4 linked regions of the Drosophila melanogaster genome follow. The protein of the gene in region 3 interacts with the protein of the main gene of each other region in a pairwise test. Each region holds a gene or a part of one and is shown on either strand. Other genes may lie near its edges. The genes, in order: CG8230, Rcd7, jbug and CG30393.

The links.
Region 1: the proteins of jbug (region 3) and CG8230 interact in a two-hybrid assay, tested with the Drosophila melanogaster proteins (one large-scale study listed by BioGRID).
Region 2: the proteins of jbug (region 3) and Rcd7 interact in a two-hybrid assay, tested with the Drosophila melanogaster proteins (one large-scale study listed by BioGRID).
Region 4: the proteins of jbug (region 3) and CG30393 interact in a two-hybrid assay, tested with the Drosophila melanogaster proteins (one large-scale study listed by BioGRID).

What each region holds. Positions count from the first base shown.
Region 1 is NT_033778.4:8,941,629-8,950,305, forward strand, and holds CG8230 (uncharacterized protein), read right to left. Parts: upstream 5,717-8,677; 5' UTR 5,644-5,716; coding exon 5,501-5,643; intron 5,422-5,500; coding exon 4,236-5,421; intron 4,180-4,235; coding exon 3,682-4,179; intron 3,623-3,681; coding exon 3,500-3,622; intron 3,428-3,499; coding exon 3,278-3,427; 3' UTR 2,670-3,277; downstream 1-2,669. Other genes in the region: CG33199 (uncharacterized protein), read right to left, coding at 7,125-7,313; CG8229 (uncharacterized protein), read right to left, coding at 7,952-8,677.
Region 2 is NT_037436.4:19,542,951-19,550,919, reverse strand, and holds Rcd7 (reduction in Cnn dots 7), read right to left. Parts: upstream 5,811-7,969; 5' UTR 5,740-5,810; coding exon of another isoform or gene 5,638-5,739; 5' UTR 5,612-5,637; coding exon of another isoform or gene 5,400-5,611; 5' UTR 5,371-5,399; intron 5,317-5,370; exon of another isoform or gene 5,238-5,316; 5' UTR 5,237-5,237; coding exon 4,956-5,236; intron 4,788-4,955; coding exon 4,204-4,787; intron 4,148-4,203; coding exon 3,819-4,147; 3' UTR 3,803-3,818; coding exon of another isoform or gene 3,691-3,802; 3' UTR 3,627-3,690; downstream 1-3,626. Other genes in the region: CG46435 (uncharacterized protein), read right to left, coding at 5,638-5,739; Ltn1 (listerin E3 ubiquitin protein ligase 1), read left to right, coding at 1-890, 949-2,256, 2,311-2,543, 2,605-2,788, 2,846-3,121, 3,189-3,623, 3,691-3,802, 5,400-5,611 and 3 more; CG46434 (uncharacterized protein), read left to right, coding at 6,850-7,740.
Region 3 is NT_033778.4:22,731,588-22,740,165, forward strand, and holds the start of jbug (jitterbug), read right to left. Parts: upstream 5,459-8,578; 5' UTR 5,255-5,458; coding exon 5,018-5,254; intron 2,610-5,017; coding exon 1,959-2,609; intron 1,719-1,958; coding exon 1,413-1,718; intron 1,132-1,412; coding exon 395-1,131; intron 335-394; coding exon 79-334; intron 1-78.
Region 4 is NT_033778.4:21,264,259-21,271,485, forward strand, and holds CG30393 (uncharacterized protein), read right to left. Parts: upstream 3,322-7,227; 5' UTR 3,258-3,321; coding exon 2,193-3,257; 3' UTR 2,106-2,192; downstream 1-2,105. Other genes in the region: Rgk3 (Rad, Gem/Kir family member 3), read left to right, coding at 63-275, 6,503-6,656; CG30391 (uncharacterized protein), read right to left, coding at 971-1,987.

The sequences.
Region 1 (8,677 bases), about 14 Mb from region 3:
CGCAATTGCCGGAGGCGAGTAGCAGCAGGCTAACTTTCATATGTAGATTTCACTTGGAAATGGTCCAAAGCACAGACGAGCTCCCAATGAGAAACTGGCCCATTCATGCGATGGGCAATCAATCGATCGATCGCCCAGATGTAGACGGACATAACCATAGCAAACAAGATCGGCAGCTGCAAAGGTCAGGCACGGCACGGATGGATGAGTGGACCACGTACACGTATGTAGTTGGGTCTAGGCAAACCAGTGCGTCAGCTGCTGAAATACGCACGGATGCGGCGGCGGAGTGACGGAGTCACTCGGAATTCGGCGGATCTGGCGGAGCAAACAAACAAACCGGTGCGAAACCGATTCCAATACCAAATCCGAGCCAAAGTCAAAGCAGGTAAACATAAACAGCCGAGAGGTGCGAATTTATGCTAAGTCGATTGGCAACAGGCCAGTCGGCCAGCCAAAACAGTCAGAGAAAGACCACAAGATCTCCAATTCGGCCAACGTGCCTGCTTGGAACTCACGACTTGGACTCACTTCGAGTCTCGACCTGGAATCTGCGATCTGGAACTGAAACTGGGACTGGGCAAATTTCCAAGATTATTGTGCGGGCCTGCATTCGTCGGTATAAATAGAAAATCGGTGGATCAACGACCTGAAGCCGCTTGCCAAAACAAAAAGCGAAAATGCGGGCCCAGCCGCTACGTTGCAACATCATCCATCCCCAGCGGCGACAAATGAACTGGCTGCCGCTCCAGCTCCATTGGAGTGGTCGATCCCCTCCTGCAGAGCAGTGGCCTGGACAGTGGTCCAACAAAGTAATAGCCATCGGTGGTTAGCTTATGCCCATTCGCCGTTCCCGAGAAATAAGTTACAATGGGAATGGGGTTTCCTTAAGCCGTATCTAAAATACAGCATATTTAATATATATATACATATATAAATTAAAAAGCATAATTTTGTTGAAATATATAAGAAACTGAAAACTTTTTCATTGTTATTGGATTAAAATAACATTGGTCAATAATAACACCACGTTATTGCAATAAAATAGTCATATAAGGAAATAAAATTTTTAAAATTCAATGGAATGGCAAACAAATTTGAAGTAGAAAGCTATTTTTAGGCTGTTAAGCTATGAATGGAGTACATGTACAGCCGTTACTTTTACATTTATCTTAACCTATAAGATAGGTAGTCCTTATACATATTATTATTTTGTATTACTTTTGATAAAAGCGCAATTATATGCATTTACGCATTCATGAAATCCTAATACCATTTCAAGCTTTGCCTTTTGTATAAAGCAGCTTACTAAATTGGCGGCCATTTTGAAGAATGTTTCCAGTTAAGAGTGTGCACTAGTTGCTCATTTCCGACCTTTAACAACTGTATCGCGTTAAACCCAATCATTGTTATTACTTATTAAGTTGGTTTAACTAATTTGCGCTGAAATTTGCCCAACAAACCACAATTGGAGCGGGGAGTGGGAGGGGGTAGAGCGCCAATCAAGTGTGCGCATGCGCAACTCTTTTCGAGTTTTCTTTGCCACTTTTCGATATTCGTTTTTCGCAATGGCAGGCCGAGGGTTGCGAACTCGGCTAAGCTTCTGGCAAATTCTATCAATTGGGAAATTGGCAGCACAATACAAATGGCTAACAAAACGCGGCCCGAAGTCAATAAACCTTTTTAGCCAGCATGGAAAACTAATGGCAAAATGGGGGAAGGGGGGTCCAAAAGAAATTTGAAAAATTTTCGCCGTTTGTTGTGGGCTAAAGTGAATTAAAATGCAGCACGCCATGAAAAGCTCACAATAACAAATTTTCCGCCTTTCGGCGGCGATAAAACAAATGCAATTTTTATCGCAATACTAACCTGTGCGTTGTTATTTGTGTACTTGCTTATTTAAGACACGTACGCAGAGCTGACAAGAGTGCAGCAACAGCGACGAGACCACAACAAAACCTTCAGCGGATTGAGCCCCCATCCTCCAAGTCCAGCCCCCTTTACCGCCCAGCCGTTCAAGTCAACGAACCCCAATGTAAGCAGGCAGTAAAAGTCATCTCGTCGTTTTTCCCGCGGCTTTTTAGTCACATATTTAGCCGATGAAGCTGGTGGTGGGAAAAAAACGTAGCAGTAGTAATAAACAATAAACAAGGCAGCCAGCCCATCATCGTTGTTGTTGCAGCCGATAGTGCAAATATGCACAATGAAGTGCAAACAGCGAAGCCCGTATGCGTAGTGGAAATGATAAACGGGAGAAGAGGTGCTTAAGCATTGTTTACCCGGCGTATACGTAATAAAGGAAACTTCATTTGAAGCTTCCGTTTGGCGATATTTCTTTGGCGAAATATAATGAATACCCATTGGGATATGTGGATATTTAGCTTAAAATAAACTGACCAAATACGAACCCAATGAATCTTGAAGTAATATGACTAACCAATACTTCTCAACACTGAATTCTTTCCAAGAAGTGAACTTCGTTTTTAATGATAAATCCATTTCAAAAGACCAACTACTTTTTTCATAAAACACTGCCACGTTCCGATGACGAATTGCAAAGAAGATCTAATCACATTCTTGTTCTGATAAAAACCAACCCAAATAAATTTGGGCTTTCCGCAGATAACACTAAAGGCTGCCATAGACAGAAGAAAAAACACAAGAGCGTTAACTTTAGTTAATATATAGTTTATCGACGTTTTCAATTGCTAAATACAATACAATATATAATTACCATAGACTAAAATGTAAATATATTTTGCATATATTGTATATTCCGATTCTTTAATATGTATATATACTTTTTATTGGATTTGCTGCTTCCCATTGATTAGAACATCGATCTGTAGGCGTACGGAGCTTAACTTCCCTCTAAACATGCTCATTGCAGTCGGCTTGGCAAAATATGATCATGTTTCAAGGTTGCTATATTTTAACTTGAACAACAATTTCCGACCGGATTGCTTGTTAACATACACATTAGTATAAGCGTAGCTATGTCTATGTATTATCGTTAGTTCTCTCGTTTGCTTTGTCTCCTCTTGTCGTCAACGTTCGAGATGCGCATGCCTCTTATTTAGCGCAACATTTCTCTTGCTTTGTTTTGTTTTTGATACTGCATTTCGACATTTTGGGTTGGATCAAAAGGTAGGGCGTGGTATATGGCTTAAAGATCGGGTAATCCCGCACAGAAGACAAACGGAGAAGCATCGAAACATGGTGGAAACCAAAGCGGAGCCGGGTGTGTGCGTGAGAGGAAGGGATAGAGCAGTAAATATTAGCAGGCTATGTCCGTGGTCACGCTCTTGATGCTCTCCGAGCTGAAGTGCACGCAGCCGTACTTGCAGACCAACGTCCACACATATGGAATGAAGAACTCCTCGGGAGCGTCCTCCTCGACGTACTTAAACTTAAGATCCGGGAACTTCTGCAGGATAAACACAAAAAGAATAAGTGAGCCTGCGATTTGAGTGAGTAACTCATCGAGCGGATTACTTACTCTCAGTCGATCGCTGGACCACTGACTGGCACCTTTAGATATAACCTCGAGCACTTCATTGACCCCAAGCTCGCCTCTCTGCTCCTGGACACGCTGCAGACGCGAGGAGAAGAAACCGACAACCTGAAAACGAAGACAGCATGAGACACATCGCATAATCGGATCGGAACTAGTGCGCATACCATGTCTATGTTTTGGATGACATCCTGGAAGGCGTGGTGACTGCGGAAGCCCTCGAAGACGCTGCGCTTGTACAAAAGAGTGTACACCAAGTTGGGACAGTAGACCAACTGGTTTGTGAGGCAGGAGTTTAGGATTTCCAGCACCATGCGCAACACCTCCTCCAGCACGCTCAGATCTTGTAGCATGTCTTCCGGGGTCGTCGAGACGTTCACAAACACTGCGCTATCGGCCGGCTCCTTGAGCTGCGCATCCAGGCGCGTATGCTTCCGAGCGAGCGTTTCGAACAGCGAGACCAGTCGCTGTGCCACGTAAGGGTGTAGAGCGCGGAAGTGGCCGGACATGTTGGCCAGCGCCGCCAGGCAATTGGTGTGCAAGTACTTGTCGCGCATCTTCAGCATGTTGTACTGTATGGTGCGGATGACGATAAGGATTAGGATGCCGCCCAGCGATATCTCCGATATGGTGCGTTCCGTATACCATGTGATGTTTTTTAGCATCTACAGGGATGAGAAAGGATTAGTAATGCAACTATTAGCACGCACAGATGACCTACTATGGTGTGCACATTCTTGTTGAAGCCCTCGTCTTCACTCAGGATCAGCAGCACGATCAAGGACATGTAGATGTGATGTGAGTTGCTATCGGGGGCGTTGTACAGTGTCTGGAGGATGGGGATCACCAACTGCTCCAAGTCCTGTTGCTGCATGACGAACCGGTAGAAGCGCTCGTTGCGATGGAGCAGCAGATAGAGCAGCAGCGTGGCCTGGTCGATGGTAACGATGGTACACAATGTCTCATATACCGCCGAGAAGTCGATCTGGAAGGAGACAGCTCCCTGTTTTGGTGAATCCTTTGAATCGGCGCAACTGAAAAGGCTAGTCCGATAGGCGTTATCCTGTGCCGTGCAGTGGTTAGTCAGTATCAGGATCAGCAACAGGCTCTGGTTGGCCAGTGGGTAGTGGGTACGGAATCGCTGCGAGAGCTCTCCACCGCCGGCTGCTTGGCCCGCTTTCAGTATGTCTGGCTGCTTACGGAACGTGAAGATGGAAAGCAGCGACTCCGCGATGCCAAAGACAAAGGATCCAGCAGAGCTGGACCCAAACATGGTGTGCGGCACCTCCACAATACGCGCCACAAAATGCAGCAGTGCCGACATCAGCACGTTTGCGTGCTGACACTTGAAGACCGTCCGGAACACGATGGACTTGTCCGTGGGCTGTTGGGCAAACAGATGCACTGACAGCAGGGTGATCAGCATGTTAACGGCCTCTAGGTGCAGGTGGTAGGTGAACTCCTTGACGGGAATCACGACGATTAGGTTCACCAGGGCATCGATGAAGGTCTCAAACTTAGATCCGTCCACAATCACTGGAACCGCAGCCGCCGCCGACTGTTCGGTGGCCTCCATGGCAATGGTGGCGCTCTCCGCCGGCGTCTGTTGCTGCTGCTCCAATGCCGCTTGCAGCAGCTCTGCATTCGGCATAGCCTCAAAGTGCTGCAGCAGCTGGAACTCAGAGCCCGTCTCGTTGATGTACTTGACCAGGCTGCGGATGATGAAGAGCGCGTTGAAGGTCTGCCAGACGTGCATGTTGCTTTCCTGGTCCGACAGCGACAGCAGCTCGCTGGTCTTCTCCAGGAACACGGTCACCAGGGAGCCAAAGTTGCCCGTCTTCAGGTTATTGCCGATGAACGACTGGCACAGCGCCTCTAGCCGGCTGTCCAGGTTGAGCTGGTCCTGACTGAAACACACACCATTTCAAACCGCCCGAGATTAGCCCTGCTGACGTTGTTGCTCCACTCCTGTTCCACTCCACTCACCTGTTCTCCGGCAGCACAATGTTGTAGTTGAGCAGCCCGTTCCAGAAGGCCTCGTCATCGTGGGCGATGTGCTGGCGGCCCACGAAGCGCTGGAGCCACTGGTTGGACCCCAGGTCGGCCGTCCTGCTGACGTTGATGCCCATTCCGCAGTCGAAAGAGTGCTGTTGGCCGGCCAATGGTTATATTGGTGGCACGTCACTTGATCATTGAGCGGGGGGGTGAGGTGCTTACCCTTCCAGTGTGACCCTCGCTCAGCGCTGCGGAAATCCGTGCAGCTGTGGTGCCGCCGCTGCGCAATACTTTTGTCACATGTGGCGCAAAATTCAAATGCGGATTTTTGAAGCTGAAACTAAATTTTTTGAACCTTCGGATGTTGAAACACGTTTATGTGCTGTCCATATAAATGTCCTAAAAATGTAATTCAAGACATTAACGCCTCTACAATGAAATGCAATTGCTAAAGCAATTCTTCGGAAACTGTCCTTGGCACTTTATTATTTTAGAAGTGATAAAGAAATTAAAGAATTTTAGGCGAACCATATATTATATATTTTTAGATAATATGTTGGCTTATTAATATTAATATTATTAATAACCACAACATTATTTTTTGGGAATTAAAGTATTTATTTGCATAAACAAGAAAAAAGAAACTATTCAATAGATTGGGGATTTACAGCGAACTTACGGATGGTGGATAAGCTATTTTAACGTAAATATAACTTTTCAAGGGTATAGAGTATCTAGGCCTTGACAGCCGAAAGTTTATGTTATGCTGTTGATTCTTTTAAAGTACTTAGTTTTCACGCAAATCATCAACGAGTCACTAACCCGAGGAACAAATAATTATTTTTTATATTAGACTAGGAACTATAGGAAAATGTTAAAAATGTTTTATTCATAACCTCTAGGTGCTGGCTTAATATTCATATGTGCTTTAGCATGCATGTTTTAACGGAAACTAGAAATAAAAATCAATATTTTCGAATTGAATATAATGCATTTATTTGAATACGGAACTAGAACTAGTTTGTTTCTTGGATACTGACACAGCCTGCTCGGCGATCTGCAGTCCAACGAAGTCATTATTGTTTTATACCTCCCTACTTAGTCGTTTCTCTGGTTTGCAAATAACTTGTAAATAAATATACGTATATAATAGACTTGTTTACACATAAAATAAATATTACTAAAACGGGCAACAAAAGAGTATAGGAAAATTTGGGATTCCCGCAAGCTCAGCGAATCTTCTCCTCCATCGCTCCTTCGTTCAGTTTGTCTGCCGATGGGCTTTTTTCATACACGATTTATCACAAATTTATTCCTTTTAGTTGGCGACGCATGGTGTGCATGTGTAAACAAGAAAATATATCTATATATGCGCACAGATCCTCGCCTCCGATCAGTTAGTTTATCGAACAGAATATTACAAAACAAGCCTCCATGTCCGAGTTCCGCTTGGGTCTGTGGTGAGTGGGTGACTTAACTTAGGCAAATATACACGATGATGGCGGATGATGAAAATATCGAATGTGTGACCTCAGGACATGGCGCTCTGGCTCCTCATCGCCGCTTCAACCGTTGGCGTTGGCATCGCTCTAATCTTTCTGGCTATAGCTCCATTCTAGAGCTTGCGCAGGCCCTGGTGCTTCTGCTTCTTGGCCAGCAGTTGCTTAAGGCTGAACGAGGACAGCGCGATGCCGAAGAGCGCCAGCATGGTGGCAGAGCGGGTCACCACACGGTTGGGCGACGACGAGCTGGTGGTGAAGCCATGGCTGCAGTGCGTCGTGGCCTGTGTGGACAACGTCGGCGCCTGCGGGAGATAAGATAGGGAGACAAATTTAGTTTTTCGCTCGTTTTATATATATCAATCCAAACAAACAATAAACTTGGCCCACTGCCCGACGGCCCCCGCCCACACAGGCAACTACGCAGCAGAAACAATTTACGCCGGCAGTTGGCAACTAGGTTCAAGTGCCCCGGCCGTCCACACGAATGCGATTACCCCACATGGTCGCACGATTATTGAACTGATTGCAAAGGGTCGATGTAATGCCATATTATCGTGACTGACATCACTATCGCAATCACTGTCACAGCGCTTAGATGACGTTCAACTGCATTATCAGTCAGTCTCTGCAGCTCAACAGCTAATCGCGGCTTGAAACAGATCTCCGCGTGACGCAGTTGCCACGACCTCCTTTCCAAAGTTCACTTCCACTGATAGCACGCTCTCTTGTCGGCAGCGCTATCTCTCCTGTCCACTTGAACATGCTCTAGACGCGTGCCGCGAATTAGTAATCCACAATTTGAGTTGCCAAAAAAAAAAAAAAACATAGCGTAACGGACTTGTTTATAAATAAACGAACTTGAATTCTTATCCGGAGGTTTCATGCATTATTTCATATGCAAATTTATTTCAAATACTTGAGTAAGCTAAATGCCAGCCTATTACGTCCGTGGTGTCGTAAGTTTCGCTTCTGTGGTGGTTTCCAAATGCTCGATCAAGTGCATTACATCCTGTGTGCGAATGCCCCCCCTGCTGGTGGTTCCCTTGGCCAGTCGCTTAGGGCGTCTCCCTACGCCACGTAGCGCGGGTTTGGCTTCTGTGGAATGGCGTTTAATGGCGTCTAGAAACAAGCCGTTCATTCCCGTGTTTAACTCCGGAACACTGATAATAATATTGACGGCAGGCGGCGTTGACGGTGGTGACTGACCTTGCGGCTGGGTGGTTGCTTTCTTGGGCGGACTGCTGAAGGGAGACCCCTTAGATTTGATGCTAGGAGACATCCTCACACTTGCCTTCACACAAGCGGGTAGTAATGGTATTTCAGCTTTGCCTTGCCAGCTTTGGGACGTAGCTCCCTTCAGATGAGCCACATGTTCCTTGGCTTTGGTGTCCTCAGTTTGTACTGCTTTTGCCTTGGGCGGACTTATTAATCTGTCGGGTAAGACGACAGTTGAAGGTACTCCCAGCTCTGATTTCAATGCTTGTGGGGGTTCCTTGCATACGGTACTGTTCTCCTCCAGAAAGCTTAAGTCGGGAAGCTCCAGTTGTGGGCAGGGTTTTTCCTCTGAAGGCGAGTGCAGATTTGGCATGGAACTGGAACTCACATTTGTCTTAAGGGGGGTTTCTGTGGCAGAAGTCAATTGCTGCAGCAGTTCCAATATAAATTC
Region 2 (7,969 bases), on a different chromosome or scaffold from region 3:
ACGATTTCTATCAGCGCTTCTTTGACGACATGAAGCTGGCAGTCACTAAGAAATTCGATCCTCCGCTTTCCAAATCCGATTGTATTGTGATACATAATGCATATTTTGAGTGCCTACGCTTCTTGATGCAGCAGATTAACAACAACAAACAGCGAGAGCAGAAGGAGGAGGAATTTTCCTTTAGCCTACTCGATAACAACGTACTTGAACCCATTGCCTGGCTGCTCAAAAGCGATAGCACGCATGTAAAAATTTTCTTCCAGCACAGTTCAGCCCTGGTGGCCTTCTGGGATCGTCAGATTAATAATAGATTGGATAATGGTGACCTTTATGCCAAATTGCTGAACAAGTTCTGGATACGCATCTTTGAGCTGGTCACACAAGACCTATCGGCCGAGGAGGTGAATGAGCAACTGCTCGGACATGTCTTGCTTTTAGTGCAGGATCTGCATATGGCTAATCCTAGCCTGGAGTCGCCGAGTGTGAAGTTTGTCGAGGGGCCAAACGAAAAGATCGAGAAGAGCGAACCCACAACACCAGTTAAAAAGGCTCAAGAAGCTGCTGCTTTTATACAAAAGGAATTGAAGCAGTTGGTTATAAAGTTAGTGCGCATATGCCTGGATAAGGCCAACAAAGGCAGTGGGAGTGGTACTTCGAGCTCGCGTTACATCGAACAAATTCGAACGCTTACAAAAATGTTTAACGATGCCGCGTTCTACAAAAGTTTAACTGATGATGGAGACCTTGCGTCGGCGTTAAATAAATTTGTGTCACTGCTAGGTCAACTAAGTTGTCAGGCCTGTGAATCTGTGGTGGAGATCGTGTTTGAAATCCTGCCGCTGCTAGAGACTGGAAAACGCTTTGAATATATTGAAAACACTCTCATGAAGGTAGTTACCAATTTTAAAGTGTATAAAAAAAATATTAAATTATTATTATTCTTTACAGCTTCCACAACATGGCGTGCAAAATCTTTTGCTGCATCGTCTACTATCATATCCCCTATGCGCCGAGGCCGCCGTGAGGCAAATGCTAAGTGGTCCGGAAACTTGTGAAATGATTGCGCGGATAGCTGAGGAGGTTGTTGTAGACAATGATCGGGAGAAGCTGAACTTGCTTCACAAGTGTTTTTTCCAAACTGACACGGGAGACATACTCATTAATGCTAAAACTGTGGATAAAATACTGCTGTCCATGTGCGGACCCTTGGAGCAACCGGTTGTCGATGACGCGGTGGAAGTGTGTGGCAGTTTTATTGCCCAGATAATGCCTGTGATTTGCAGCAACAATAACTCTTCGCTGCACGTGCGCCAACACATCTTCCTCAAACTGTTCAAATTTAGTTTGGAGCACCGACCAGAGGATTATCTGTCGGAGGATACTCTGTGGGAAATTACCACTTGCTGGCAGGATGGACTTTCTAGCAAAGATATCGAAATCGATGATGACATGCTAAAGTGTTGCGCAGGGATTGTTGAGGAATTGGCAAATTCAGCAGAACTTAAAGCGGATACTTTGGATGGAATGGCAGAGGCGATGGCCAAGTTTGTTATTTGCTCAACGGAAAATATTGAAGATGAGTATAAGCGCTTGGAGCGAATCGATGAAACATTAACTGCTCTTCTGGAAACGCCCCTAAAAACGACTGACAAGGTTCAACAGTTTGAGAACCATTGTGTACTCCTAGAAGCCTTGCACGGATCTGTGACTGCGGGAGTTCCGTTCGAAAATGCTTGCCTCTCAAGAAATGAAATACTACCATTGCTTCAACGTTCCACACTCAACTTTTCTACAATCTACAAGCTCGTCTATCAATTCCCACCACCTCAAGACACCAACGACCCAGAGGATGAGTTGACCGAGGACTATTGTGATCCAAATGCTGATGTGCTCAAAAAATGGAACGAACCCTTAATTGCAGAGCTTTTACAGTGCATTCGAGTGGCTGGAACAGCAGAATGCTGGCTGGAAATGTCAGTCTTGCAATCGTCGACAGAGGAGTTAGTGTTGATCCTTTCGGAGAAAGTGCAAAGCTTTATGGGCAACAGCAGCGATCTGGTTGCAATAGTAAAGGAGCGTCTTCAGCAAGCGGCTGTGCAGCAGTCCAGCGTAATTGACTGTCGTCTTTTAAGTTACCTTAGATTTTGCCCACAGTATGCGGCTTTCGAAGAGAGTGCCTCCATTTTGCTACATGAAGATCTGTCAGAAAATCTAGTGACGCAGGGAGCGCTCAAGACCTATGTAATAGCTCTACAGGTAGGAATTCTAAAAGAAATCCAGGAACACTTAATAATGCCTTGTGTCTTACAGTTTCTCTTACCGAAGCTTTCTCAAAAAGCGATCACTCTTAGTTCTGCGATTATGGGAACAGAACCGCCTGAAATTTGGGTTAAGGCAGCAGTGTTTCATGCTCTACTATTAAACAATTTTGAAGGCGATGTGAATGAGCAAACGGATCGCAATATAATTGTATCAGCCGTACAGTTTATGACCAGCATAGGGGAAAGGCAAGCCAGCCAGAAGGATTTACTCCATTATAATGTGTAAGACAATATAATTTTCATAAAATGTATATGATTCAAAACCCAAGTTTGTATTTTTCAGAGAAATTCAAAGGCAACCCTACGAATCAGTTATAAATACAGTGGAGTTCATAAAGCTTTTAACTGAAGTTTTAAAACGTTTTCCATACGAATTGAGTATAAAGAACTGGGACGCTATTCGCATTGGCCTTAGTTCTTGGGTGCTTTCTGTTTCAAAATCTATAGCACAATACCAAGACCCAAAGGTAGGCTTTATAAATAAATTTCTTTCATAATTAATAATAAATTATCTTTAATTGAAGACTTCGCTTTTTATTGTGGCTGTTTACGAATTGTTTGCCGCCCTTATTGATTTTATACGCTCCGAGAAGCAAAAGAGTTCCACGGAATTACTCAAAAACATGATCGACGAATGGGACTCTTTGTTTGCCAAGGAAGTCAATTTAGTGCTCTTTAAGTCATATTACCTATTGACCCACGAGGTTAGTGTGGATCCAGGATTTCAGGCATGCTATGAGGCCTTACTAGAACAAATAACACCGGTCATAGAGCGACTGGACTACAGCTTTGTGTACTCGGTAATCAAGTGAAATATTTTGTTGTTTTTCTATGGCTAATAACTTCAAAAACCTTTTTACACTTCAGTTCTGCAAGTCAAATAGTAACATCACCTTGGACCACCTCTGCAATTTCCTGTTCAAGCAGCTTTATAGTGTCCAGCACTCAGTTCGATTAAGTGCTGTACACTCGCTTCGCCAATTAACGCCACACTTTGTGGCGGACGACATAGAGCTGAATGAGAAACAAAGTGAGAGTCTAGACGCCAGCACAACGATTTGCAAGTGGCACTTCCTCAATCGCTTTGAGGACTATCTAACACGCTACGATGCACTGATAACTAAATACCTGGAAGAGTTCACGTTCAAGCTATCAGAGCTGGATGATCTCGAACCCATAGACAGACACAATGCACTGAGTTACCTTTTCTTATGGGATTGTATTATCAATGCTTGCGCTAAGTCTCCAGTTGCATTGCGCGCTGTTTACACCAATTGGCTGAATGATAACAAATACGAAGAGGTTGGAAACGATACATTAAATTTACTAATAATTTTAAATTTACACTTTCAATTTCTTTGCTCCACAGAATTTCCTTCACTTCCTTTTCCGCGCAATGCCCGTGGACATACTTAAGAACCACGGTGCCAAGGTCCACAGCAACGGCGTTTACAAAGAGCTGACCTGGTCTCAGCAGAAGGGTAAGCTGAACATTACTTAGATTATTGTTTCCTCCGATATATCCGTATTGAGAACGTCGGGCAAGTAGTCCTCCCCATATCCATAGTCGTCATATTCAGCGGCTCCGTGCTCGACATCGTTCATCATTTCCTCTGCATCCGCCTCATCGGATACAGAAATGAAATCTGACAAGGGCACAAACTGTTCGGGATCGTTCTCTGCCATCATCTGTCGTTTTACAGGTATTTGCTGAGGTGTCAAGTAAATGTTTAAGTTTGATATGAACTTGTTGACCCAAACGGTTAGGTTGTTGGCCAATATCCTCTGATACTCTTGCAAATTACTTGTCGTATAGAATTCTTGATCTTTTGATGATTTCAATTAGTTAATTTTTGAAGTGTCCCAGTTAGATTCAACTTACCTGTAAATTCTCGAAGTCTCTCAAGAATTACGCAACATAGAGGGGAGTTCTCGTCAACAATAAACTGATCGTTGAGTAGAAAGTCCTTCATTTCCTCGAACAGTACGCAAATTATCTTTTGCATCTGCTTGCGCTGGCGCAAAATGATTCGTTTTTTTAGACCCTTGCATCGTCGCTTTTGGACACGCTTCGCTGCCTTGCGCTGACGCATCTCCTCCTCCATGTATTCCAGCGCCTTCTCCATTGACATGGCTTCTACCGGAGGTTTGGGTTTCATCTGGTTCTCTAGAGCCGCTATATGACGAGGCGAGAGGTAGTCCTTAAAGAAATTGTATGTGTCACTCACTCGCATTGGGTGAGGATCGGCAAGTCGTTCAACCCGTGCTGTACATTGGTTAACGTAGATCTTTTTGGTGTAGTAGCGCGCCTGTTTGGCCAACTGGGGTGAGGAGAAGTCCTTCTTGGGTGTAGCTAGAAAACATATGTGTTCCTCGCGGGACAACACGTCCCGGTCGATGATTATTTGTCCCGTGTGTTGGCAGGGCACATAGCAAGGATGGTAGCGGGGACAGACACAGATGAACCTTCAGGCCAATGTATATATTGTATTGGTTTTAATCGAATCGTTTATTGTTTATAGTAAAAAAGGAAAGTTAAAAGTCTGATTTAATTTATGAAAAAACATTCCAAAAGCCAAAGCAATTCCGAAAATATGCATGTATTGGATATGGAAAAACTTGATACTTACTTACCTGTACAATGCTTGCGTCTCATTGGGGGAAAACTTAACTAAGCGGCGAATGCGTTTGGCACGAGTCTCGCGCACATGAACCATGGCCAGGCGAGCGTTTAACTCGTCCGCTACGGTTGGTCCATCCTGCTGAAACTCCTCAGGCTTGTGCTCCTTGCGCGTATCGCATTGCGTCTTCAGGAAGTTTATGGCTTCGGCCACCGAAGTCTCGCCCTCAAGTTGAATGCGCTTTGGCTGCGGCATCTCGGAGGGTATATCCTTGAAGTTTATTGGGTTTTCCATGCTTTCAAATAGAACGGAAATACAAAAAAAAAAAAATAAGAAGCGGATCAATACACAGAACGGTAGGAGACTAATGATTTAAAGTGAACTGTTTTCTATATAAACATAATTTGACTACTCGCAGCCTGGCTTGCCTTGTTACATTTCTTGATCCATTTTGCAGATCGACATCTACCCCTGGAGCGATATGCCTGCCACTTGTACACGGAGGTGCTCCGCAAGCTGCCTGCCGTGGTGCGCAGGTGGTGGAACGCCACTCAGTCCAGGCAGAAGAACTTCATAGACAACCTGACCACAAACTACGTGAGTTCTTTGATTTGCAGCGAGGAGCTCAAAGCGATCGCCAATCGCAAGGAGAAGCACGAGAATATGCAGGTAAGCGGATGTGTCCTTTCAAGTCTTTATTCTTGCTCTGGGGTGCTTAGCCGAAGGGAAAAAACCACGGTGATGCTAATCAGCAGTATGATAATGACAATAACGCGAAATATCTCAAGAGGCACCATATCTCTGCTAGAAGGGATATAAGTGTGCTTTCGCTATATATTTAAATTTCCGTTGAATAAAAAAACTTTGGATATTTTGTAAATCCCAAACAATCATAGTCTACTGAACTATGTGACTAAAGTTGACATTTCTCTATTCTAGGTTACCGTTCATTCCTCCACCCGCGAAGTGCTAGCGGTCTACGCCATCGATGAGGCACGCATGGAACTTGTAATAACGCTGGCTCCCAATTATCCACTGGGAGCTGTTAAGGTCGAGTGCGGCAAGCAGATCGGCGGACGTGCTTCCTCCCGAAATGTCGGCATGCAGTTGACCATCTTCCTGACACACCAGGTATATTGATATTGATACATTTCGTATGTTACTCGATGTCCGCTGAATAATAATATTAAAATTGTCTTATGCAGAATGGCACCATATATGACGGCCTAACTATGTGGAAAAACAACTTAGACAAAAAATTCGAGGGCGTTGAAGAGTGCTACGTGTGCTATACTGTTATCCACCAGGAGACTTGCCAGCTACCCAAACTAACGTGTAAAACGTGCAAGAAGAAATTCCACGGACCTTGTTTGGTAAGACTCCTCCAAGCTGCTTTTTTTTTCTCCGATCTAACGAAATGATTACATTTTTTTTAGTATAAATGGTTTACCACAAGCAGCAAGTCCACCTGTCCCATTTGCCGCAACGTCTTCTAGATGTGTGTATATATCATTAACAATTTTAGCAACACGTATTGAGCAAAAGGCACAACCAAACCATTCGATATAGGAAATAGTTTCAGGTCTCACAAATTGTAAATCAGCAATATTAATAAATCTTACAATGTTTTAATGTTCTTGAATATATATATAGTGCAGGGATTGAAATTATTTAATTGTAAAAACTAAATAGTGCATTAAAATTAAAGAAAAATTAAAAGTTTGAAACAAAGTATGTCGTGGAAGGGTAATCCATAGCAAATAACAAGTTTGTTTTACTAAAACAGTTCTCAAACGATATCAGTACTCACAACAACACTGTACAACACAATACAATTTTACAATATATTTAATGCTGTCAGTGGATAATCAAGAACTTTTTATATTATGGCTACAAGAATAAAAGTAATGGGTCAGTGCCCATATTGTAATCGTCATGTGGCCAAAGACTTAAGACCTATCAACATGCTGTCCGCACAGGATGCCAAAAGGATTTCTAAACTGGTAAACGAAGTGCAGCCACCACTTCATTTGGAATCCGAGGAGGAGACGCAAGATCAGGAGGAAAAAGTACAAGGTAATATAACCAAAAAAGAGCGAGTTTCGATGAGAAAGGGAAGGAACATTTCTGTAAGGAAGTTAATAGCCAAAAAAACTATAAAAGCTCCGCTCTCCCAGAGTAAATCGAAGATAGATACTAGGAACAGAAAATCAAGTTTTACGAAGAGGAAGAAAGAAATACTTGGGATGTATGAACCTAAAAAAATCGAATTAAAAAAACCAACGCGGATGTCAAACAGAAGGAGCCGAATTCAAGACGTTTTAGATTTCGAGGAGAAAATGGAAGAAGATTCTTGCCAACAGGAGCATTTAAACAATGATAAAAGTTCACCAGAAAACTTGGAAGAATGCTCGTACAACCCGAATGAATTGAATAAAAGTCATAGTTTACTGGAGGAATTGGTTATAGATAAAGATCCCTGCGCCCAGGAGGAGCTTAAAGATAGTTACAATTCACAGGATAAATTGGGAGAAAAGGATGTCCCGAAGGGATCTGCGAAGGAGGATAAATCAAAAAATGTTGACGCGATCACTGGATGTGTATTGGGGTTGGTAGAGAAGGAGTTTGGGCGTGATCCGGCCTGCAGTGAATCATCCGAGTCTTTGAAGGGAAATGCCGAGGTCATTGTGGCCATGCTGACCGAGGAGCAGGATATGATGCGGAAGATTAAAAAGCGGTCCTCGCAGTGTTCTTGGTGGGAGAACGAAGAGCCGCCTGCTAAAAAGCGCAAATATTAGTGCGAGACCAATATATTTATATTTTGTTGCCTTTTCAAAATTAACAGTCATACCGTTCGGCTGCCCACGTGCTGACCTTTTTACACCATCATCCACCACTCGGCACAATAAACCTTCCCTTTTGAGCATGCGCCCTGGTGAACTGACTTCCTTGGGGTGGGGCCCGCAGCACATGATGACTCGCTTTCGCATCGGTTTTGCACAGTAGTGCAGTTTTGCAAGCTGCTAA
Region 3 (8,578 bases):
ATTCAATTTTGATGGGTTCGGGTGATGAGGAAGAGGAATATCCCATGCCGCATGCCTGCTCCCCTGACTTCAACTTACCTCGCTCTCCCGCTTATAGTACCTGGAACTCGAACTGTGGTAGTCAGTGGTGTCCAATTTGGGAGAGTACTGCGGTGAATAGCTGTTGGTCCTCTCGGCCGTGTTGTGCCTCGAAAGCGAGGAGTTTCGGTAATCATTGTGCCGCGTGTTCGTGGTGGAGACAAAGTGCATCGAGGGACTCTCCGATCGGTGTTTGCTGTCGTGGAGCGGACTGCTGCGCGTTTTGCCAGATCTTCCTTTGGTGCCCACACGCATGCTGGAATTCAACATAATCACAATTAAATATTGAATCTCTAAGACCAGTGGATGTACTCACATGAAGGGCGAACCTTTGACATCGTAGCCATTGAAGTAGATGTACACCCGATACTTTCCATTCTGCCTGGGCATAAAAGTCACCCGGTACTTGTTCTCCACGATCTTCTCCACCGAGCAGACCAACGAATGCTTGTCGTGCACAATGTCCACGTGCAGCTCGCCCGAAACACCCACTCCACGGGCATCCACTTCAAAGGTGTGAGCCCGCAGCGGCATAGCTCCATCTAACCCATGGACCGAAACTCCGGATGCATCAAACACGGCACAGGTGAAGGGGCCTCCCTGGATGTGGCGACCCTGGTAGGTGATGGCTATCTCCCAGATACCTGCCTCGTCCGGCTTGAATATGGCACTGTGTCCCTCGTCGATCTTCTTCAGCGGGCAGTTGTGCGAGATGCCCGTGGGCGAGACCGCCGTGACCAGGATGTCCTCCGTCTTGGGCGCACCGGTGGCATTGACCAGCACCTCGACGAGACTGCCCAAGGCACAGGGCGCCATTCCCGGCGGAGCCACCTGCAGCAAGCGCGGCAGGGCTCGGAAGAAGTGTCCGCCCAGACTGTCCTCGCCGATCTCCACCACAATCTCATGCATCCCATAGCGCTCCGGCACAAAGACTCCTTCGCCGTGGGCATTGAGCCGCACGGGCTGTCCCGGCTGTCCGGACGGAGGAACCACGTGGCAGCGTACTGAGCTGAGGCTTATGTCCCGGGACATTACGTCGATGCGGAAGTGGGTCTGCGTGTGAATCGGACATTAAAAATTTACGCTCTGCACCTGGCAGACTGCAGTGTTCATATACACACCCACAGTGATGGGTAAAATAATTGAGCTGACTAGTAAAAATATTTGTTTAATTTAAAAATTGGGAGCTATCTTTCCAGTTATATTGTAAGTAAACACCACTGATCGGATTTGTGTTAAGTAATAATATATATTTTTTTCTAGTCATGAGTGCCCTATTATTTTGCCACCATCTGTACATTCATATATATATTGTATATATATGCTTCACTCACCGGTTCGCCCACCCGACCGGATGTGCTCTCCAGGTAGACGCTGACCAGGTCGGACAGCGGAGGCCTCGGCGGCACCCACTGCAGGTGGGCCGCGTAGGCCATGATGCCCAGGTGCTCCACTTCCGGGTTGGCCATGTCCTTGGCCGTCAGGATGGGCTGCACGCCCAGCCGGGCGCCCGCGTCCACCGCCTTCCGAATGTTGTTCTCGTAGTGGAAGGGATCGGTGCTGAGCTTTTCCGGTGCGGGCGCCGAGCCACCCAGTCCCTTAATAATTTCGCACATAACGCGTCCATCGTTCCAGTCGGTCTGCGAAATGAAAGTGCCATTATGGGATACGATTATTATTGGTTGGAAAAATACGAGAATTAATAAGTATTTATGTTCTTTTTAATGCAATTGTTGCAGATGTACATTAACATTTGTTCAACGGATTAAAAGGTCATATTTAAATGCGGTGAAAAAGCGTGTTTTATTGTAGAGCCATAAGGATTTATTAAAAAAGAAGGCTGCTTTATAACTGATATGTGATTATGGATATTAACATACCGTAAAGTTCTTCACAGGGTCCTTGACCTGCGTATTCACCCATCGCATGGTGGCATTGTAACCAGGACCACCGGGCTTCATGAAGTACGAGAGGTACGTCATGCCGGACAGCTCATCCAACCAGGGCGAGGCGAGGTACTCCGGTTCCAGAACCTTGGGCACTCCAAACTCGCGCTGAGCCAAGTCCATGGCCTGGGTGCAGTTGCGCACACTCTGGCTGGGATCGAGACTTCGCCAGTGCGGGAACAAGCCCGGCTGGCAGTAGTCCAGGAGCGCCGCCAAATTGACGCCACTATTCCAATCGGTGGTCAGATTGGTGATCCTGCAGTCCGGCAGAGCGGCCTGCAGCCAGGCCAGCATCAGTTTGCGCGGCGGGAACTTGCTCCTTCCGATCTGGTAGCGCACGATAAGGGACCAGATCAAGCCCAGGATCAGCTTTATGTTCCCATTCACAATGTCCACGTTGCCGATGTTCACCAGCTTGATGTGATCCGCCTCGATGGACTTCAGCGCCGTGGTGGCGTTCTCCAAATAATGATGCTGGTTGGCGGGTCGGCGATTCCACGAGGGTTTCAGTGGACGCGTCTGCAGATTCTCCACAAGGGCGCACAGACAAGTGCCATCGCAGAAATCGGTGGCCCAGTCATGAACCTGAGAGACAATGGGAATTTGCATTAACTTCTCCGTATCATTAGAAATAGTAATGGGAAAGTTTGTGGCAAATAATTAGATTACTGCTGGAATACATTCCGTTTAGCAACGCAAGTAATGTGGCAAGTAAGAGATGGGAGTGCATTCCATAATAGGTTTATTATTATAATTGCATTTAATATGATATTAGCTTTTTACGGTCTAATGGATTTGCAAAATGTACTTTTATTAAGTGGGTAGTTTTTACTTTTCCATTCTATATAGATTTAATTTTAAAAAGCATGCTAACCCAAAACAAAAAAATGTTCGAAAGAAGAGATTTTTTATCTTTATTTAATGACTCTAGCAGCATTTTCTTTATAGCTATGCATTAGTTGAGATTACTAGACTTGCTGTAGTACATATGTACATAGTTCCCAATGGAGATTAGCAAATGTGCGAAACGCCTACCATGTCTGCGCAAATGCAAGAAGGTCGCTTGACTGGCAGCCTTCCTAATGAGCAATCAACGCCCCTTCCGCAAACTGGTGGCCCACTTTGCAAGGTAAACCGCTTGCTCGGAACTTGGAGCATGGAGCTCAGATCTCGGAACATGGCACATGGAGCTCAAGAATGGGCTTGGGAACCCAACAGGTTCGCTGCTCCGAACTGAGCGGCTTTCTCCGCCCGGGTGCAACCAATTGTGCGCGATTTTAAGCATTTGACATAAAGCTTTTTATCTGGCTGCTGTCGGCATTCGATTCGACTGGGGGGAACTCCACTCCACTCCACTCAACTCAACTCAACAAATAAAATACGACAAAAAACTGGAGAACTGGGTACGGAGACAATCGCGTGTCTGTTGCTGTTTGTTTGTGCCTAGGAAAATATTCATTGGATGCCATAAAAATCTCACATCGCACATATGTAGTTGCTCCATGGCTCTCTAACAAGCTGCCGCAGGTTGTTATTTGTCGCTGCTGTTATTCCGCCCTTAAATTTTTAAGATTCCTCTGATTTTACGATATGAACTCGAGTTTCGTTGGGAGTTGCGTTTTCACCTAACAAAATATATATGTACTTTTATTTGCATATAAATTTTTGCTATATGTCAGAAAATGTCTAGTCATTCTATTACGACAGTTCCATGGTGGCAATCATTTTGAGATAATTTAATTCTACCTGCCGCAACTGTTGTTGCACTGCATTAAAACGTTAAGGTCATACAATGCAGTCACTTTGAATATTTCTCTCCGTGTATCTGCTCCCATCAAAGCATTTCCCTTTTGTTTGCACATGCATTTGTCATACAAAGTGGATTGCAATATTATTTGTCGCATACGCATGAACTAGAATTGTAAACAGCGTAAAAAACGCAAACTTGGATGACTCGTTTTGGTTTGGTGACCCAAATAGACGCCAGCCAGGTCACAATTAGCGCTGTTTACTAAGGGGTCTTCAGCCTTGCTCATCACATATGTACACATACACGTATGTATGTACGTTTTTGGCCCAACCGAAAAAGTAAAAAAAAAAAAATAAAACCCCGAATTTTATACTCGAAACCGGGCAAGATCGCGCACAAAAGCTTTAGCTTGTTTTGTGTATTGTAACTGCTAATGGGAACTCGATGCGTTGGCCTTGGCATTCAACCGGCCAAATATGGTCGGTTCAGGTCGTTTCAGTGCGGTGCGTGTGAGAAAATCCGTCGAAGCGAGTGACAGTTCAAAAGTCCCTGGACAAATGAAATGCATTGTTGGCAGTACACATAAGTCCGTGTGAGTACTCTTGGCATCATTGTTAATGTAATTGTCGTTGCTGCCATTGGAGTTCAAGATCTGCGTGGGCGATTGAGCCGAGTTTTATGAGCCCGGCCTTTTAGGGAAACTCGCGGAAGAGCTCGAAGCCCCAGTTTATGATGGCGATTTATACTTTTACGTGTTCTGTCACCAGTCAATGCGCTCGTTATGCGATTATATTTAGCTTAAATGGGATCAGTATATGAACTTCAAAAACCTTGCTTTTAAAGTGCTTCTTAATTGCGATTTATAATAATCGAAAATTTTATTTGTATAGAGTTCAATTAAAAAGTGTTCATTATTTCACATATTCATATTTTGTTTTCTATCCCTAATTACACTTCATTAAGCAGTGCCACTTTTTCTATGTGCAACTGCCTTCGCAAATCATTTCCTGGCTAAAATTCCAGATCTAAACGTTTTGTATTTCACTCATCGATTCTCAGGCCCTGCTTCATCAATAGTTCTACGAATTCCACATTCAACGGAGCTAGCCCATTGATTGGGTAATTGTTTTTTGCGCTTGATCGATCAGATATTCAGTCGGCGGCAGGCATTACTCAGTCGGTTAGAAAGTGTTGCATAATCGGAATGTAAATATATCTACAATATATCTATGGCTTAACTCACCTGCATTCCCGTTTCACGCAAATGCTCGTTGACCCAGTTGCGGAATGTGTTCGCCTGGATCTCTACCCAGAGGTCCTCGTTGCCCCGTATGTTCATACCCTTGGCGGCGGTGCCCTCGGGACTCCGGGCCACCAGACCGGCATGGGTGATCTTCTGCGTTTCGGTGGTTCCATCGGAGTTGTGCTTGAGCAGCCCCGCATGCGTCACCTTGGCGCCTTTTATGTCCTTGACGTCCATCTTCACTGCACGTCACTGCACTTCACCTGCGACTCGCACATATGTATGTACAGATGTAACTCGCGTTCGAAACACTGATCGGGAGAAATGGATAGATCGCGATGAGATACTTCTGATCGCTGTAAGTTGTAGCTATGCTATTCAGTTTCGGTTTCAGTATCAGTTTTAGTTTCGTTTGCACGCGCTCGCGGCCCGAAGCGAACTGGAACTGCGCTTAGCTGGTCGATCTGGGCGGCTCTGCTCTCTTGGCCTGGCCAAAACAAACGATGACGTCATGGCCAAAGCTCAAAGCTCCAGAGAGCAGCAGGAGAATTTATAAAAAAAAATGCGGGGGGTTTCGCCAGCGAATGTGTGTGTGCGAATATCTCTGAATCTGGCTATAAAGCAAAACTGGTTTCGTCGCTTCCAAGCCAAAACGAAGCGAGCGAAAAGGAAAATTGAATACAAAAATAACAAAAAGGCGAAAATAATACAAAAAAAAAGAGTCTGTAAAATAACAGAAATCACTTAGTTTGGAATTTCGCCGCGGCAACAGCAGGCAAAAAGCGAGCAGATCTGGTGGGCAGTACTGTGGATGCCAGTGGTTGTCGTGAATGTGGCTGTTTGGGCAAGTCTTTCACAAACGTTAGAAGGCCAACATGTGTGTAAACGTGGGAGCCACCCCAGAAGATAATGGACGTAATCACAGCAATGAAATCTGCCACGATCAATTGTCAATTGTTCGCCCGTTTTCACTTGTCGCACTTTTACCCAAACAATTTGTGCAAACCGAAAGTTGGCCGTCTGAATGGCCTTTTTGGCATTTTTCCACACGGCGTTGCGAAGACAACGAGGCGTCAAATGACCGTCTAACCAACTTAATTATAGGAAATCCGGTTGCGTTTCTAAACAAGTCAATTGCCACAGATCGCATATATCATAGCACGTCCAGTTCTGAGCGAGGCTGGTATGCAGATTTTGAATACGAATACGAATACTATTTATTGACAAACACTTTTCGGAGAGGTAAACAACTCTGGGATGACATCACTCATCACTTGCTCGGCACAGCGATGAGTTGTGGCTTGAGCACTTTTTTAACGCCCCGACAGGAGAATACAGTGCGAGAAAATCATGCTGACTAATATTACAAAAGACAGTTGACGTAGCTAATCTAGTAACTCTTCAATGGAATTCCTCTTAAAACATCAATTAACTACTTAAATACACCGCTTTGCCGCAAACTAATTTGTACCTTAATTTATTTTAAGCAGAGATGTCATTGTTGTGTTTTTGTCTCAGTGACAAAACTGCGTGGCTTGGATGAAATAAATTAACCAGCGGGGACAGCAAAAAGTGGAAATTAATGAATTGCTCCTCGGACTTATGAGTGATCCCGTGGCTGATGTCATTTACTGACACTTGACATTGGCAATGAACCTAATTAGTTGCACTCGCCAGCGGAGTGGAATGAGCCCCACTACTCGGCGAGTTCTATAGATTCAGCTGGCGGCAAGGTCATGGGAATGGTCATGATAATGGTATTGGTGGTGCTATTGGCCAAGGGGAATGGGAATGGTAATGGTAATGGGAATGACCAATCCGCTTCTTAGTTTACTCAGTTGGTCAGCAGGTAAATATCGAAAGTGTTGTCGTGACTTTAAATGGCAGAAGAGGGCCAGCTAGCACACCTAGTTTAGGGCATTACGTAATGGCCGAAATTTTCGACTTTGAATGGGCAAAAGTGTACGTATCGTAGGCTACAAATCGGTGTATCTATATCACAGAATGCGATGTGCACGTAGGTGTCTGGCATTTTTTACACTTTTCGATTTGTTTGCTGTCCGAATATACATTCGTATATACTTATTTCGCTTTTTGCCTTGCAAACCCACACGGCCAGCCAAATCTCGTAGTCGTCGTCATCGGGACAGCCACCCACATGGTTGGTTGGTTCAACGCCTCGTTCTAGACGTGGGTGCGATTTCAAGTTTGATTTGTGCCAAAACCGTGTACCAAATGGCCATTGATTTCTCAATGATTCTGTAGTGGCTGCCTAGCTACAACTCTGTTTGGATCCGAGCTGTGGGAATATATTTGGTTAGATGTTCTATGACAACGTCATTAACTTTGAAATATATGAGATTAACTGGAGTGGAGGTGAAGCCCATAATTATGTTGATGGATGGTTACGGAATTTACTACGAAAGGCTGTTCTAGAGATGAACCTCGAAAAATAAATGATGATTGAGTTATTTCATCAATTAGGTTTCTTAAACCCTTTTTTTTTTCAATATTCGATTTCTATTATAATAGTAACAGGCAGACTTAACTTTACTACTCAGTTGGACACAAGCCAATTGTTGCTTGGATTCCCTGCCAAAAGAATATAATACGATTTAAAAGTTTAATACTACATTGGCATCCTTTCCAAGATTATTATAAGTAGATTCAGTGCTATTTCCTTTTTAGACTAGGGGTGGGCTGTTTGTTTTGTCTGTTGGTATTACATATTCGACTTCCTGTTGGCCAAATGCGATTGTAACACTTGCCACGCCTTACAGTTAAATGATGGCCTATTAGCGCACGCTTCTATAGCGAGTAAGCGCTTATTTTTGGCATCATTTTTATGGCGGTTCGTCATAAATAGAAAACACTCCAAACGATGTGCTCACACATACGCACAGACATACATATGTACATATGTGTTCCCTGCTCTTTTTGAGGCACTGCCAAGTTTGTGTCTTCAGTCTTTTGATTAATGCCGTTAGGCGTCGCCAAAGCGCAGCCAAGCCAAACCTTCTTGGTTCGTATGAATGATTGTGTGTGTGTGTTCTTTTGTTTTTTAATTTTTGCTCATTACTCTGCCTCGTTTATTCGCCTAAAAGCCGCAGCAATTACAATTGAAAATGCCTTTTAGCCAGCACTTAAAACCAATCGAACAGCGCCAGCGGAAAAACCAGATTCAGATTCAGACGCGAGCCCAGACTCGGGCTCAGATTCAGATTCGCTTTCGGTTTTGGCTTTAGTTAAAGTTTTGTTTTTGTTTTCGCTTCCCCTCGCATTCGCCTATTATGCAATGGGCTAGGCGGCCAGATATCTGAATCTGAATATCTTATAACTGCGACTTTTGGTGTTTATGCTGGCGGCCAAGTCTGTTTTGTTGGTTTTTCTTCCGATTCACACGCCTCGAGGCCCGTTCACGTGTTTAGCACAAATTCCGCATGAAATTGTATGGATACATATATATACATATATATCCCCTCTAATTTAAGCAGCAACAGCTTAAAATTAGAACAACGCTCGGCACGCAAAGCGAAAAAAAAGAAAAACAGACTCAAAACC
Region 4 (7,227 bases), 1.5 Mb from region 3:
CACACCGGACACAAACGGAAATTTCCCAGGAGTTGGACCAAACGAGATCAAGAGAAGTCGCCATGGTGGACGACATCTCACCGATGCATCATCGGATGCAAAAGAAGACGCGCAGCGCCTCCATTTGTGCCACCGGCGCCAGCATCGAGACGGTCATCCATGGAATGCCCGGCGCCTCCGGCAGTGCCACGCCCGAGGGCGGTACTCCCGGGTACCGGCGACGCCGACCGGCCACGCGCTCCCAGAGCGCCCGCATCACCTCCGGCGCCAGATCGGTGAGTACGCGGGGCGTATACGTAATGCGCTTGGAACGCATCCAAGCGGTACAGATTTTTAGCATTAGCATTTGCATCTGCCCGTCACTCTGGCAAAAGTTGCTTATTTATTTATAGCTTTAGATAAATGCACGTTTGCTTACTATAAATACGTCGTCTTTTAGCCCATTTGGTAGTCACGCACATGCAGATTGACATTTCAACAATATTATAATGTGTTTTTTAATTCCCAAAAGGACCATTTGATTCGCAAATATAATTGATTGATTTTATGAAATGGCACTTAGAGCATCAATAAAAATATTACTCTGAATTGAATTTATTATATTTGTTTGTTAGCTTTGCAGTTTACAGATTATAATGTTCAATCACGAATCACATTTTTAATTTTAAAGCCAACTTGAAAAAACTTCAATGGGTTCGTCTGACAACAAATTTTGAAGTGTCTCACTTGATTGAAGTGAAAACTTAAGCTCACTTTTAATCGAGTGTGCTCAGCTGAAAGTATCTCCGAATTGAGGTGCATAATCACTTTGAAGTTTACTTGGTAAACAACTCCCATTTGCGTGCCACAAATATTGAAGGGATTGAGTTAACTGGGTATAACTACATTTCCGCCGGCATTTCCGAGAAACGGAGAACGCAATCACGTGCACTTGGCCCAATTAATTGATCGATTACAATCCGAGTTGACCTCATTGGTTGGTGGCGTCGTGCCTTTTTTCGGGGGAAATGCTAAGGGCGCACATCAGCTGATCCCTTAGGGTGCGTTCATGTTGCTGATTGGATACGGATACGGCTTCTTCCACGACAGAAGCCTCCCGACTTAGACTCCTGGTCGTCCTCGCGCTGCCAATGGACATTTTCCGTTCCACTGAGCCGCTTTCCCGCTTCGCAGTCTGTGCCTCGTTTTGGGCCATTCTCTCAAACCGCCTGGCACATCGCTTCTTCTTGGCATGACTGAGATATGCGTCGGACTGATCCTTGATCTTCTGATGGTGTTCGTACGGCGGACACATCGGTGGCGGCCGCATGCATTTGCAGAAGCTTATGTTGTGCAGAAAGTATTCGGCAAAGTCCTCGTTGGGCTCCAATAGCTTCATGTAGCACTCCATTCGGTACAGATCCAAGGGATCCAACAGACGCGCCGCGCAATCCAGCTGAAGGTGTCCACTGTAGAAGTAGGCGAACAGCTCCTCCACCAGGTCGATAAAGAACTGAATGGGCTTGTGGAAGGCATCGCCCAGAATGAAGGGGCTCTCCTCGCTCCTATTCAACTTGGCACATTCACGGCGAAAGACAAGCACATACGGACGCAGGCTTTGGATGGCCCAACACTGATTCTTGTTTGAACTGGCTATCACCTGATAGTGGATGTAGAACTTGTTGATGATCGCATCATCCGATTCGATATCATAGATCTGCGGACATGTGCAGCTGGTGTCCAGCTGCATGGTGATCTTGTAGCGCTGGATTAGCTGGTGCAGTGTTTCTGCCGCTATCCTCTGGAGCTCTAGCTCCTTCCTATAGCTGTCAAAGTAACTCCGATACTTCTCCTCGATCACCAGCAGAATTTTGATCACTCTCTTTTCTACAGCATCGGAACTTCTAAGATTTCCAATCGCAAAATTGGCCATGCTCGCGGTCACCGTGCCTCTCGACATAAAGCTCTGGCTCACCATCATTTGGTACAGCCGATCGCGCATTTCCATTTTCGGTTGTGTGTGTTTTAGTGTATTTCCCTGCAAAAACAAGGACAACTTCTGATGAATGACATTTAAGTCGACGATGATGGATACCCCTATACCAGATGATGAATCCTAACAAACTGGAAATCAGTAGGCAATTTATTAAATTCTATACACCTCATATAAAATAAACGTAACTGCTTACAAAATTTAAAAACTTATCATACTTTCAGAGAATTTGTGGGTTCACCGACCATCTGATTACTGAATCCTTTACAGTTAGCTCGTGTCGGTTGTCGGGCAGAGGAGTATGGTAATCTTCCTTAGTAATACTTATTATAGACCTCTCACTGCGACGTTGGTGTCTAGAGATCCTCTTCAGTTCCCTTTCGTTGTCCTGGTCTAATTCCTGACCGGTGCTTATGCCAGACATCTCACTGGGACGTTGGAGTCTAACTATGGACTTCTTTCGATCCAGTAAATTGCTCTCGGCCTCGGCCATCTTTTCGCATCGCCTGGCACACCGCTTCTTCTTGGCCTGATTGACAAAGGTGGCGTTAAAGTCCTCTTTCACCTGCGGATACTCGTGGGCAGGACAACGGCGCGGCATACGCAGGCACTTGCAGAAGCTCATGTTGTACTTGAAGTAATTTGCGAAATCCTCATTGGGTTCCAATAGCTTCTGATAGTACTCGATGCTGTTCAAGTCCAAGGGATCCAACATGTGGGCAGCGCAGTCGAACTGTACGTGTCCACTGTAGAAGTAGGCGAAGAGCTCCTCCACCAAGTCGATGAAGAACTTGATTGGCTTGTGGAAAGCGTCACCCATGATGAAGGGACTATCCTCGTTCAGATTCAACTTGGCGCACTCTCGACGAAAGAGGAGAACATAGGGGCGCATGTTGTGGATGACCCAACCCTGGTTATTGTTGGAACAGGCTATCACCTGGTAGTAGATGTAGTATTTGTTAATGATCGCATCATCCGATTCGATCTCATAGATCTGCGGACACGTGCAGCTCGTGTCCACCTTCGTGTTGATCCTGTAACGTTGGGTCAGCTGATTCAAGGTCAGTGCCGCCATCTTCTGCAGTTCCAGCTCCTTCTTGAGATCCTCAAAGTAACTGCAGAACATCTCTTCGATGGCCACCAGAATCTTGGTCACCGAGCTCTCCAAACCTTCGTTGCAATCCAGATTCAAGATCGCAAACTCGGCATCACTCTCGGTGACCGTGACGTGCGACATGACGCTCTGTTGGGGTTTCAATTGCTGCAGCTGAGCGGTTGTTTCCATGATTAACTAGTGTGTATATATATACCTCCTTCTCTAATAACGACGAACCCGTCCGACTTATTCGACAATCTCAACTGAATCTTGACTGAAAAGGAAAGGCCTATTTTAGGAAGCTGGATTTATTTGTATTTACCATCACCGCAACTGAAATAATACAGAGAAAAACTGAAGTCGCTGACGTTTCCAATTCAATTGATTCCGTCAGCCAGCCGTCCGAGGAGCCTTGAATTCGGAGGAGCACTTGCAGTGCGGCGTGTGAATTGAGTTATATCGTGGCGAAATTCAATTTCATCGGACTGATGTGATGGTTGTCTCGCACAAAAGACTTTCGCCACGTGGCGGCATACGCTGCGTATGAGTTTTCCTGGCTGGTTTGGTGAGGGGGGGGGGGGTGTAGCTTCCAGTTCGCAGCTTCTGGTGCTGAATATCCCTCGCTGGTGAATCCCCTGCTTTTCTGCTTCTGCTCGCGACATTATTAGTAAGCAAACGAGGCAACAAAAAGCAGCCGTACAACCATGCAACGTGCTAAAAATGTCGTTCTCATCGCCTGAGATGCGCCCCGAGCTGGTAATTTATATAGAAAAAGTTTCCAAGACACACGCACACACACACATATGGTTTCCCGCTTTTTGGGGGCGGCATGTTCTGGCTGGGCGTGGCCGTAATGAGTTCGCAGCTAAGCAAGTGAGAAGTAAGTGCTTGGTGCTACCGACTATTGAATACCTGGTTTCTAAAAATCATTGCCTACATTTTGGCGTATGATTGCACATATACATAACTCCTCTCTAAACGAAATAGATTTCAAATTTTGTTAAAAAACTATATGCTTAAAATAGTAAGTACTACAAACACGTACTGGTTTTGCCAAGCAAGTTAGTAAAGGGTATTAAAAACGAGTTAGGAATGCTTTAACGACTTTTGTTATAAGGAAGCGGGGAGTAAGGATACAATCGGCAAGCAGCAAGGAAGTAAACTTGAAGTGCTCAGTGCCTTGATGTTCCAATGTCGATAAGTCGCTAGCACTTTTCATCTGCAGACGCAAAAGTTTAATGAGAAGATGCCACAACAGCAGCCAACACGATGAAGTCGCATTGTAATGCTATTTTCGTTTTGCACGGCATTCTGTGGCCCAAAGTCAGATATATCCCATGCAAATACTAGACAAAAACCAACAAATAGCCAAACCAAATAAATAAGACAGCCATGAATGGGGAAATATTTTGCGACTTTCGACACAAAAGTTCATCGGAGGCAAGGAAATTGCAGCCTTGTGTGCAATCAAAACTTTAAGCAGTGACACAATAAATTTGCAAGAAAAATATAGGATGTATGTACATTTTACAAAACTAAATAAATGAAAAATATTGATATATTTGGTAAGATATCACTAAATTTAAAGACGCCAACCTTACGAATAACTCATATGTCTTATCAATTTAAAAGTCAAATAGTATGTGTCTGGGAAATGTGAAATTAATTTCGAATTTTAATTTAATCCCCCGACGCCCGTAAAACGGGGCGCATTAAGAAAATAAATTATGTGCGCTGCCCCAGAGGACTAATTGGGGATTAAGCGGGTACAAATTGAAGACTCCGCCGCAGGACATGCCGCGGAGCACCATGGCATGGTCAATGAACTGGGAAGCCAGGAAGCAATTAATTTCTGAAGCGAGAAGCATCGACCATCTGACCACTGCATCCGGATGGATCAGATGTGGGTGTCCGTCCGTATGGTCGTAATATTTGATTAAGCCGGCAAAGTAGACCATGCAAACATTTGTCGAAAAAAGAAGAGCAATTACTGGTCACGAGAGCCCATGAAATGCCAGGATAAATGCGTACATACGTATACAGTCCGGTTCGTAGTTATATGTCTAAACTCGTATGTGTGTGTGTGTGCGCCATAAAAAGCGCAAAAGAGCGGCCACTAAATAAACAAGGAACGTTTACACTGACAGCTCGCCTAATGACCGCCGCCCCGCCCCCTTGGCCACACTTCCTGCGGATTTGGCGGCTTTGCCGGTCCCTCCAACTGACCAGAAACTCAACGTGGCCCAAATCCCTGGCCACTTGACAGCCGACGCCACGTAGCAAGCGCTTCCGGCGTGCCGTTTTCCAGCGATGAGAAAACCTTGTGCGGGAACAGTGGCGGAATCAGCGTGGCTTTCAGGGGATTAAGGTTCCCGATCAGCAACAAATTCAGGCCAAAAACCTTTACGGTCATAACTCAATCAAACATATAGTAGATTTTTTTAAAGCAAACTGGTTTCATTTATTTTAAAGATGTTCCATGTAGAAGGCCTAATTTTAAACATAATTTTAAATTTAATTAAGAAATCGTATCAAAGGCTTAAAGCCATAAGTTGAATACCTATACGTATATATAACATACTCCCCGCAAAACCAAACCCATTAATTAGAATCAAGGACATAAGCGGCACAACTTAATAACTTCGAACTGCCAACTAATTGGTCCCCAACACCCAAATCATATTGTTCGCCCTCGCCCCTGTTTTTTTTTGTTTTTTTTTTTTTGGATTTTTGGGCCAAGGAAAACGGAAGTGGCTAACAAAGTTGGACGTTTTGCATGCGGCTATGGCCACAGCTATAAATATATATCGCCCTCACACTGGACCAAAGAAACTGAACAAGAAGCTTACATTGCCGGAACAGTGGTGAAATTAGTTTTCGCCCCGTCGTCAGCTAGCAGTCAGGCAGGCAGCCAGCCAGGCTTCCAATGGAGCACCGCAGAGCTGAGGCGGCTTGACAGGCACTTGGACGTGGCATGAAGGATTTGGAACAGGGACACGTCCTCCTGCTCCAACCTACCCGCCAATGCCTGAGCAGGAAACTTTTGCGGCGGGCGAAACAAGCATTGGCGCTGATTGCATTTGGAGTGGCCGAGGCGTTTAACCTTGACATTTAGGTGGATATCCCTACTCTAGTTCCCCTCAAAGAGGATCGCGCAGGAGCCCTTCTAGCGAGGACCAGGGCCAGGACAAGCCGATAAATTATGCCATTGACGGTGGCCAAGTGAGATGGGCGTCTGGGGCGTCTGTTACGCCAAAGGACAAACAAATGCAATTTGATTTGTGTGAGAAATGCAATTTAATTTCTCAGTCAATCGGCAAGGGCAGTCCATAAATCACAGCGATTGCCTTGGGCCGCGTTTGATAGATAGCTATACATAGCTATACATAGTTGCCCGCTCTAAAGACACGCCTCCTCCTCCTTTCCACTTGCAGGTCCGCCAGAAGACCAAGGCGCAGCAGCAGCAGCAGCAACAGCAGCACACGCTCCAGGAGACCCGGAGCTACTGCACCAGTGAGCCCCGGCTGAGCGAGACGGAGACGCCTCCGCAGCGCCGCAAGCTATCGCAGCGGAGGCCACAGACGCACGGTGAGTAAATTACGCCCGGAGATGAGCATCTACAATTGCGGTGAATTAAATAGATACCAAGTGAATGCCAAAGAAATGAAAATGCAGTTGATGCTAAGCTGGTAAACTATAACATTGCAGTTCATAGGATTACCTGGTAACTTTGTAGATAAGAAGCTTAGCTTGGTTCACTGAAATGTAGTAGTAGTAGTAGTATAAAACAAACCTCAAAAAGATTTAAAAAGTTTGATAGTTATGCTCCTTTAGCACTTTTTCATCCTCTTATTACTTCCTCAAATTACTTACTTAGGATATTCAAGCTACTATTATGCCTTAAAACCAAAAATGACAAGCACTTAGTTGTTAGCTTGAATTTAAAACTAAAATGTATCACTCTACTCGCCCAAGCTTTTAAACCACTTCCATTAGTAGCAGCACAGTTCACTAGAATTTCGACCACACTTGTACATAAGTTAGTTAAAGTTGTGGCTTTTAATGGCCGGATGGAGCCATCAAAGCGGCGAAACAACGGCAACAAATTAGCCAAGTGCTAAGCCTGATCTTTTATGTGGCATAAACTAAGCTCTCAGCC